2 linked regions of the Kluyveromyces lactis genome follow. The protein of the gene in region 2 purifies or fractionates together with the protein of the main gene of each other region. This does not show direct contact. Links are inferred from orthologs where the notes say so. Each region holds a gene or a part of one and is shown on either strand. Other genes may lie near its edges.

The links. The genes of interacting proteins can lie anywhere in the genome.
Region 1: the proteins of PIB2 (region 2) and KOG1 purify together in Saccharomyces cerevisiae (affinity purification with western blotting; 5 studies listed by BioGRID, with this or other methods). This does not show direct contact. The link is inferred for Kluyveromyces lactis from reciprocal best matches to the Saccharomyces cerevisiae genes PIB2 and KOG1.

Annotation. Positions count from the first base shown.
Region 1 is NC_006037.1:828,609-833,081, forward strand, and holds the start of KOG1 (ubiquitin-binding TORC1 subunit KOG1), read right to left. Parts: upstream 3,177-4,473; coding exon 1-3,176. Other genes in the region: Elongator subunit IKI1, read left to right, coding at 3,822-4,473. UniProt on the Saccharomyces cerevisiae protein: Component of TORC1, which regulates multiple cellular processes to control cell growth in response to environmental signals. Nutrient limitation and environmental stress signals cause inactivation of TORC1.
Region 2 is NC_006039.1:1,484,206-1,488,643, reverse strand, and holds PIB2 (Pib2p), read left to right. Parts: upstream 1-1,675; coding exon 1,676-3,649; downstream 3,650-4,438. Other genes in the region: cystathionine beta-lyase STR3, read left to right, coding at 1-838. UniProt on the Saccharomyces cerevisiae protein: Functions as an intracellular glutamine sensor that directly activates the TORC1 signaling pathway, to promote cell growth when glutamine is available. May play a role in repressing NPR1 activity independently of TORC1 signaling.

The DNA of each region.
Region 1 (4,473 bases), on a different chromosome or scaffold from region 2:
TTCCCACTACTAGTGCTCTCATGATCGGAGTATGAATCTTGGTCATTAGCAAATCCAAGTGCCTTCAGAATTGAATTCATAGAGAATACACGCCTGTCACTGACAGTATCGTTTCGGTAATGGTCATGTTTACCATTACTCAAACTTGCTGGTCTTCTTATTGCTGGTAATTTATTTGGGGAGGTGAAACCTTTGACGTTAACAACGCTTCTCTTCAAAATGTATTGTTCCATTTCTTTCACCATTTCAGCCAACTTACTGTGTTCATTTAGCTTAATGAGGATGTAATCTACTACATCTCCTGCAAGTTCTCTATTTTCGACAAATGGGTCTTCAGAAGAAATTAATAACGCTTTCCACACGGTATTGAATATGGAACCATGACCAACTGAAGTAGGATTTCTTGAGTCGTCTTCATGGCCATTCGTTTCTAGCGCAACTATTTCTGTGCTGATTTCAGTGAAAGCAATTACAGTGAAAAATTCGATATACCTTTCTACAACTTGAGATAAAAAGATGATCAATTCCTTCCGTACCATTGGACTACCATCGTTGACTAGCGAAAGGGTTGTGATAATGGTCTTAATCTCAAATTGTTTGAGGTTGCGTAAATTAATACTTTGCAATTGACTCATTGATGTTTGGACTTGTTGGGATTGTTGCTGAATTTGATAGTATTGTTGCTGTATGTGATGCGTACTATTCTGTTGATTTCCCTGTTGCTGCTGCTGCTGCTGGTTTTGTTGAGATTGCAAAAGCTGCAGCTGCGCTTGGAATTGTTGTAATTGTTGCTGAAATTCTTGTTGGAGTTTCAAGATAATGTTAACATCGTCTTCTTCAGAAAGGAAGTACTTGATTGCTAATAACGCAGCACATCTGATCTCTGGAATTGGATCTTTTAAAGACTCTATGATTGTATTCATATTTTCATTTTCGAGGCATAATGTCTTATGCAATGGATTGTGAATGTATAACTGACCAAGTAAAATGATACACCACTGTCTTAATAACGGAACTTCAGAATTTTCGATAAAGAAGCATAACTTGTTTACTAATTCAGTGCTGAAACAGTGTTTTTGACCAAGGGGGAAATCGCGAACAAAGCACGATAGGACAAATGCTGCCATTGCCTTTTGTTCATCTGTAGTATTATTGTTAGATAATAACGTCGCGTTATTATATGCTTGCTGCTGCTGCTGCTGTTGATACATCTGGTACCTCTGTGTTGAAGAACTTGCAGGTACATTCATAGTCAAGGGACTTCCAGCACTACTGACACTATGTCCTCTTGGGACACCAAACTCAGGTACAAGCATCTTTACAAAGTATTGGTATCCACGCTCCTTTATAAGTTCTGTTTGGGTATTTTTATAGTCAATAGAAAAAATTCTAGCCCAAATGAACACTAGAATTGGTTTCAACTCATGGGCAGGACTTTGTAGCAGTTTGGAAACATAAGGGAATATCCCAATTGAAAGTGATAGGTATACAGCCCATGGTCCAAGATCAAGAAATCTAGATAGCAGTACCAAAGTCCTAACACGATGGACTTGTGATAAGAGAACCTGTAGTACTATGGGGAGCTGCTCAGGTGGATGTCTTGAATTAGCCCCATATTTCACCCATAAATCAAATGCGGTTAAATTTTGCTCAAAAAATTTCGTAAATTGTTGCTGTTGTTGTTGAGAGGTAGTCGGGTGCGAGGCTGAATTACCGCTGGAGGTATGTGCTGTTGAACTAAAGTTTACCAATGACATGGAGCTCAGGTTTCCAATAGTATTTTTCGATTGCAGCCCGTCATTGGTTTCATTGCCTTCGTTTGGTTGGCTTATAAACTGTGATTCAGGGAAGTTTGAATTCTTTGCATTAGCATGAGCACTTTCCAGAAGTTTGGTCAATACTTCGTCGATTGCTAGATCCCACGATCTCCACATTGGATGATCAGCAATTGAGTCTGGTAACTCTGGGTCTGATACTGGATGACAATTGTACCAAGGCATTATTCTTTTGGCGAGTAAAAAGTTACGAAATAATGCCGCGACCATGAGGTCATGTCTGAATAGCTTCTTAAATAGTGCTCTTGGTAATGATGTCCATGCAATGGTATCTGTAATAGCAGTAAATATCCAATTCAATTCACCAAGGGGAGTCCTACGCTCAGACAATTTCCCCGGTATCGTAATGTTAGGCATTTCATTCACACCCGTCTCTTTTCTTCTAGGATCGTTATCTTGGAAGAACACGGAATATTTGGTGTCTTTCAAAGGAGATTGCATTAGAAACACCTTAACAGATATTTCTATTGGATTCGTTAGACAACAGGTGAAAAAATCTGCGGGTAATTCAGGGTTCATGGGCAATAATTCGTTGTTTGCACATGACGCTAATTGCACACATTCAGTGTATGCTTCTGTAGGTGAAGGTGATGCCATATCATGATTGCCTTCTCTATCGTCTCTCAATCTCTTTTGAACAAACTTTTTAAAGTTGGATACAATGTTACCAGCACTATTGCAATCCCAGACATATATACAAGGGGCTCCTAGCCAAGTTTGTAAATCATATAATGAAACCGGGATATACTGAGTATATCCACGGTTGAAAACCCAGATTTCTCCAGATGGTGTTGGTTGTGGTACACCATGACCGTTATAATGGAACAGAATTCTTTCGTCTTTCGAAGCCCTTCTCAATGAATTACAGAAGCGTTTCACATCTTCCACACAGGGATCTAAGCTCTGTTTATAACGAGTACGTAGTGATAGCGTCTCGTATTGACTCTGTAAGTTCTTTCCTATTTGTTCAATAGCTTTCTTAGAATCCTGAAATGCAAGGGGATCAACCCATGATTCAAGTCTTGCACATGGCTGAGTCTTAGTCACATCAGGAGGATCCACTCCCAAATTCAAACATAGTAATAATGCTGCTGCAACTGTCTTCTGCCTGTCCTTAACTATTTTCCAATCAGGAATTGGCTGGTAATATCCATCCTTATCCTCTTGCTTCACTTCCTCAGGAACTGGATTCCCATTGGTTCGATGCCTCTTATCATCGTAATAAAATATAAAATTGCTAGCATGCGCCTCCAAGAGTTTCTCACTTGAATACTGCTCTTCAAACCCATGTCTAGTCTCAGTATTAAGCCGTGTCAAAGGCTGTGGGCCGTAAACAACCATTGCTTCAGGATTGGTTCTATTCACAACTGGTTCTGATAAAAGTGGCAGTACCGGTCGATTCTGACAAAATTTAAACGCAGAAAATCGTACAAATAGTAATTACCTAACTGCTAGTCAATGAAGACTCGCTAAATTGACTTCAAACCCACTAAATGCTCTTCAAAAACCTTATCTTTCCAATCATTCCACACTTACTGACCAGTATCTGTATATGAGCTTACAGTATTTTTACGCAAACACTTTGAGTATATTGTTACCCGAATATTTTATATCAGGGTAACGTTGGGAAGATATCCAATAAAGTTATATCAACCACTTCAATACCCCCTCGATTGTAACCCAGATATTTAATAACCACAGTTTATCTAACTTTTACTGGTTTGCGCTTTCAAGTGCACTAAATGGGACCGTTATTGGATACTTTTATGTGTTTTTATTTTGATCTACGTTATAAATATGCAATTTCACATACCAAATGCTTGGTGAAATATTCACTTTGACAGGCGATGAGATGAGATAAGATCAAGGTTCATGCGGGGAACTAGTACTTATGAGTAGCCTGTTTTCATCTATTTCGACTGTTACAGCATTCTTTCAGGGTATCTGATCTATCACGAATATACTGCGTGCTCTTTATTCTCTGAGATGGCTTCTACTAATAATAATCCCAAAGTTCTATTGAAGAGGACGTTCTCACTGAAGGAACAATCTTCGCTAATACTATGTACCGATACGATGGCACAAAGCAGCCGATTTGTGGTTGAGGAATTCCTAGATAACATACCAGACGAAATGCCGATCGTTTTCGTATCATTTGAGACTCCAAATAGACCGAAATATGCACGCCAATTCATAGATGCGTCGGGGAAAACCACCCAGCAACTAGTTGCAGCATTACAACCATACCTACCGCAGCCACAGGAACAAGCTCCTAAGATGCATTTAGTGATCTTTGATACATTCAATTATATCGGTTCTGAAAGCTTGACACAATTCATATCTACCATTGCATCGCCATTTGTGACAATATTGGCTACATATCATCAGTCGATACCAGCCTGGCGTCCAGCAGAACTCCAGAACTATCCAACTGCGATCCAACTCTTGCAATTTATTGCTAATACGGTTATAGAAGTTACTCCGAAGACTTCCATAGACGAGGACGATTTGGATGCAGATTTAAGTAGATTTGTGATACCCAAGAACTTGAACAATCCCACATATTATATCACTCTAACGAACAAGCGAAAGTCCGGTAGGGCTATCAAGAATAAGTTCTTAATCAATTCGAAAACAC
Region 2 (4,438 bases):
CGTTGATAACACCATGATGTCAGGTTTGAATTCCAACCCTTTGCAATTCGGAGCAGATGTAGTATACGAATCCGGTACGAAATACCTCAATGGACACCACGATATCATGGCTGGTGTAATAATAGCCAAGAAGGACGTGGCTCCATCCGTATATTTCGTCATTAACAGTACCGGTGCCGGTCTATCTCCGATGGATTCATGGCTCTTGATCCGTGGTCTCAAGACCTTATCTGTTCGTCTTTACAAACAACAGATAAACGCAATGGTGCTCTCGCACTGGCTACAAGATATATGCGGATTCAAGCCTACAGATAATAACCAGCAACTAAAGACAAGGTTTGTTGGGTTGGAATCTCACCCTCAGTTCGAATTGCATAAAAGTTTCAACAATGGTCCCGGTGCAGTGCTATCCATTGAGACTGGCGACCTAGCACTAAGCGAAGCCATTGTAACTTCTAAAAGACTAAATATATGGGCCGTCACGGTATCGTTTGGATGTGTCAACTCGTTGATCTCCATGCCATGCAAGATGTCACATGCCTCCATCGATCCAGAACTACGGAAACAAAGAGCGTTCCCTGAAGACTTGATCAGACTCTGTTGTGGGATAGAAGACGTCAAAGATTTACAATATGACTTACTTGCCGCATTCGAGGAAGCAGGCTTGATCGAATTGCAACAGAGAGGTAACGATACATATTTATTGAACAAGAAGAACGGACACATTGCAAGAAACAATATCGGAGAAACATACCAAGAAAACTACAACGTTTACGACCAATTTTTCGGTCAACGTCTCGTATCAAAGACATCTCATCTACACACTGCAAAGTTGTAGAACGGATAACAACCAAATCTACTCTATAATATTCAATACGTAAATCTTCTAACTGATCCATTTCATTTCATCTCATCTCAAACTCATCTCCATTGCCAACCAATAAATAAGGTAGAAAAGAAAAGGAATCAGCGATCACGTGACTTAGTCTTCCTTCTCTGTTACCCGCCCTTTGTCTCTCCTTAGAAAATGAAAGACCCGTAATCTCAAAGGGGGAAAAAGTGATGATTTACCCAGATGACTGCGTAGCCACAGCGACCCTTTGGTAGTAAGCAGCAGCGAGAAAGCTCGGAAAAGTAATACGGAATTTTCATCGGATTATTCAATTTTTGGAAATCAATTTTCACAGAGAGAACAGAACACTGGATTCGATAAAAACAAAAAAATATAATTTCCTTCTTTTTAGAAAGTCACTTCTCCTTGACTCCCATAATTTATCTAGTTCTTTAATCATCCTGTAAAGATCTTGTGATAGCGTAAGGAATTTCAATAACACAACCATTAGCAGGTTTCTGGAGCACTGGGGAGAACTTGTTGACATTCGGTTATACAGTTGTCTTTTTTTTATTTTTTGGTCAAAAATTTTTTTACGGAAGGAGGCCTTTTTTTATTACTACTGTTTCTACTAGTTTTGTTCTAATTCATTATATTTTAGGAGGACGAAAAGACGGTATTTGCTTCATTCTTTTCACACTATATTGTATTCTATTTGGTTTTTCAAAGATTGTGTTTTGAATCGTGAAGAGAAGAGTGTAATTCCATTGTCTGTCTGAGTTATAAAGTATAAGATAACATCCAGGGGTTTTTTTTTTTCTTTTGTCGTTTGAATTTTACTAGATGAGCAGCGTTCATTCTCAGACCAGTGAGGTCGATGTGCCAGCTGCGTGTACTGGAAAACTGAAAAATCAAGCAGAAGTTGGAAATGGGTCTAGAAATGGGTCTGAGACGTCAATAGCATCGATGAAATCGGCGAAGTCGACTATCACTTTTGAGAAGCAGAAAGTCGTTCCTAGGGCCAGAACCATGTCTGTACAGAGTGTTTTGAGTTCGTTCTCACTCCGGAGTATGTTGAACACTAGAGAGCATGGTGGGCCTCAATCGCAGAACTGTGATGAAGAGGAATGTACCAATACGATGCACAATCATAATACCAGTAATAATAATAATAATAGTAATAATAACAGCAGCAGTATTGCAACGACGTTTATCAATCCCACTCAACAGATACAGTCGCCAGCTATGGCTTCTACGATGGTCAAGAAACGCAACGGGGTTGCGGGCAAGAACAAGCAAACTTTCCTGTCGGATTTACCAATGACTGAGTCACGTTCAAGAATTGGCCAACAGTTACCTTTTAACGATGATAAACGGAAATCTGCTAGGGATTTATGTAAACAGAGATCGTCTTCGAATACTAGTTCCAATTCGACCGCGAATTCGAACTCGAATTCGAATTCTAACCTGAATACGGCAAATCCAGACTCTAAGACGAGAAAAGGGTCATCTCGTGGTTCCGAAGATGCTGCCTCAGATACTACTACCAACAACACTAATAGTAACTCTGAAAATGAATCCAGTGGCGACGCATCTCCAATAGATTCGTCTCATGACTCCGAGTCTGAAGAAGATGATATTTCAAAGCAAAACAAGTTGACAACAGATGCGTTGAGGAAACTTTCGTTGCTGCAGCAAAGTAAGGGTGCTGTATGTAAATCAGTACAGACAACGCCGTTGACCTCGAGTGAAAATTTGGTGGATCCAAAAGAACCTCTGACTCAACTTAAGTTTGGTGGAAAAAACGTTATTTTGGATACAACTGCTACCATTCGTAAGAACTCTGTAGCAATGGAGGCATCAGGGGATCAAAACGAAGCTCGTAAGCAATCTTTGGAAATTATTTCGCAACCAACTGGTGTAACTTTACATGGAACGTCTCATAATTTCAACGAAGCTAAGGGCATTTGTTCCAATAGTACAGCCTCATCTAACTCGAAGAGACTCTTACAGCAGATTAACGAACCGAAGAAACCGATGTATGTTCCTGCAGTGTTGAGAGACATTTCTGAGACGAACATAAAGATAGAAGATTTGAAGTCACATTCTCCTACACCATCTGATGTAACACAAACAACTTTACAAGCTGTGCTGTCTAAACATTCGAACACTTCCAATTCAAATTACGCCAGAAGTATTCATTCTACCACATCATCCATTGTGAGCACTTATAGAAACAAAATTCAATCCTGGCTGTGTAATGAAAGGGATCTGCAATTACAATTGATTCAACCCACCAAAGAGCACTGGATTCCAGATTCCAAACGTCATTCTTGTAAATACTGTCACAAAATTTTCACGTTCTGGGAAAGAAAACATCACTGCAGGCATTGCGGTGATATCTTTTGCCAGCAACATGTCAGACACTGGCTATACTTAAACCCTAACGCCAAGTTTATCATTGGTTGTGGAGGGTTAGGCGTGCTATCTAAAATATGTGACAGTTGCTTAGATGAATATGACACTCTGGTTAAGGCTGGACCCGCCAAAGATCAGGCAGAATTGCAACAGCAGCAGCAGCAACCACCTTCTACTTCTACTTCCTCAACTTCTTCATCACATTCTGGTTCGATTCGTGAAAATGAAAATGAAAATAGTGGAAACCATTCTAACACACTACTCAATTTGCCAAAACCCGCAACAGGAAGAAATATAGACGAAGCATTAAATGGTACTGAGGGTAGTGTAAACCAACGGCAGCACTTGGAAAATATTGTAGGAAGTGTTCCTGCTGATTGGTCTTGGAGCAGTTTCTAATTTACGAATGTTGCATCAAATCTTTTGGTTTTCATCACCTCGTTATCCTTATTACTACACTTCCTGATCCATTTTCGCCTATGCTTTTCCCATTTTATTACGTTTATCCAGTTTATTCCCTAACGGAAGATAGAGCCTAAAACCCATTTTTTTCCATTGCAGACACAATATAAGGGGGATTTCTCGTCACCCTGGTTATTTATTGTTTTCGGTATTTTCAGATTTTCCAAATTTTTCTCTTTTCTATTATTATTCGTTATTATTATTGCCATTATCACTGTCACTATCTGTAACATCGCTCGTTTGACTCCTTATATTTTCCATGTTCCGTTTGCCTTTTTTGTTGTCTCTTTTTTTCATTTCATTTATTTCGCTCAGATCATAAACTATATTATATCGTGTCCCGTTCCAGTGTGGAAAATCTATCCCTACCATTATATTATACCATCCTTAACGTTAATCAAACGAAGGAACTGAGTAAAGCGTCTAAAACCATATGGATCCTTTTTTGTTTTCTCTAAATTTCATCACCATGTTACCATTTACAAAACCATTCTTTTTCTCTCCCAAACATAATAAGAATAAGAATGATAAGAGTAATAATAATAGTAGTATTAATTATTAATTTATTTAAATGTTCTAGTTGACCTAGTTCAATATATATATATATATATATTCGTACATATATACTCGAATAAGAAGTAATATCTCACAACTCTTATACTAAAAGTCACAGCGTCTGCATAATTCATGTGTGGTCAACGTCACTCCTTCCATACCTGATTAAAC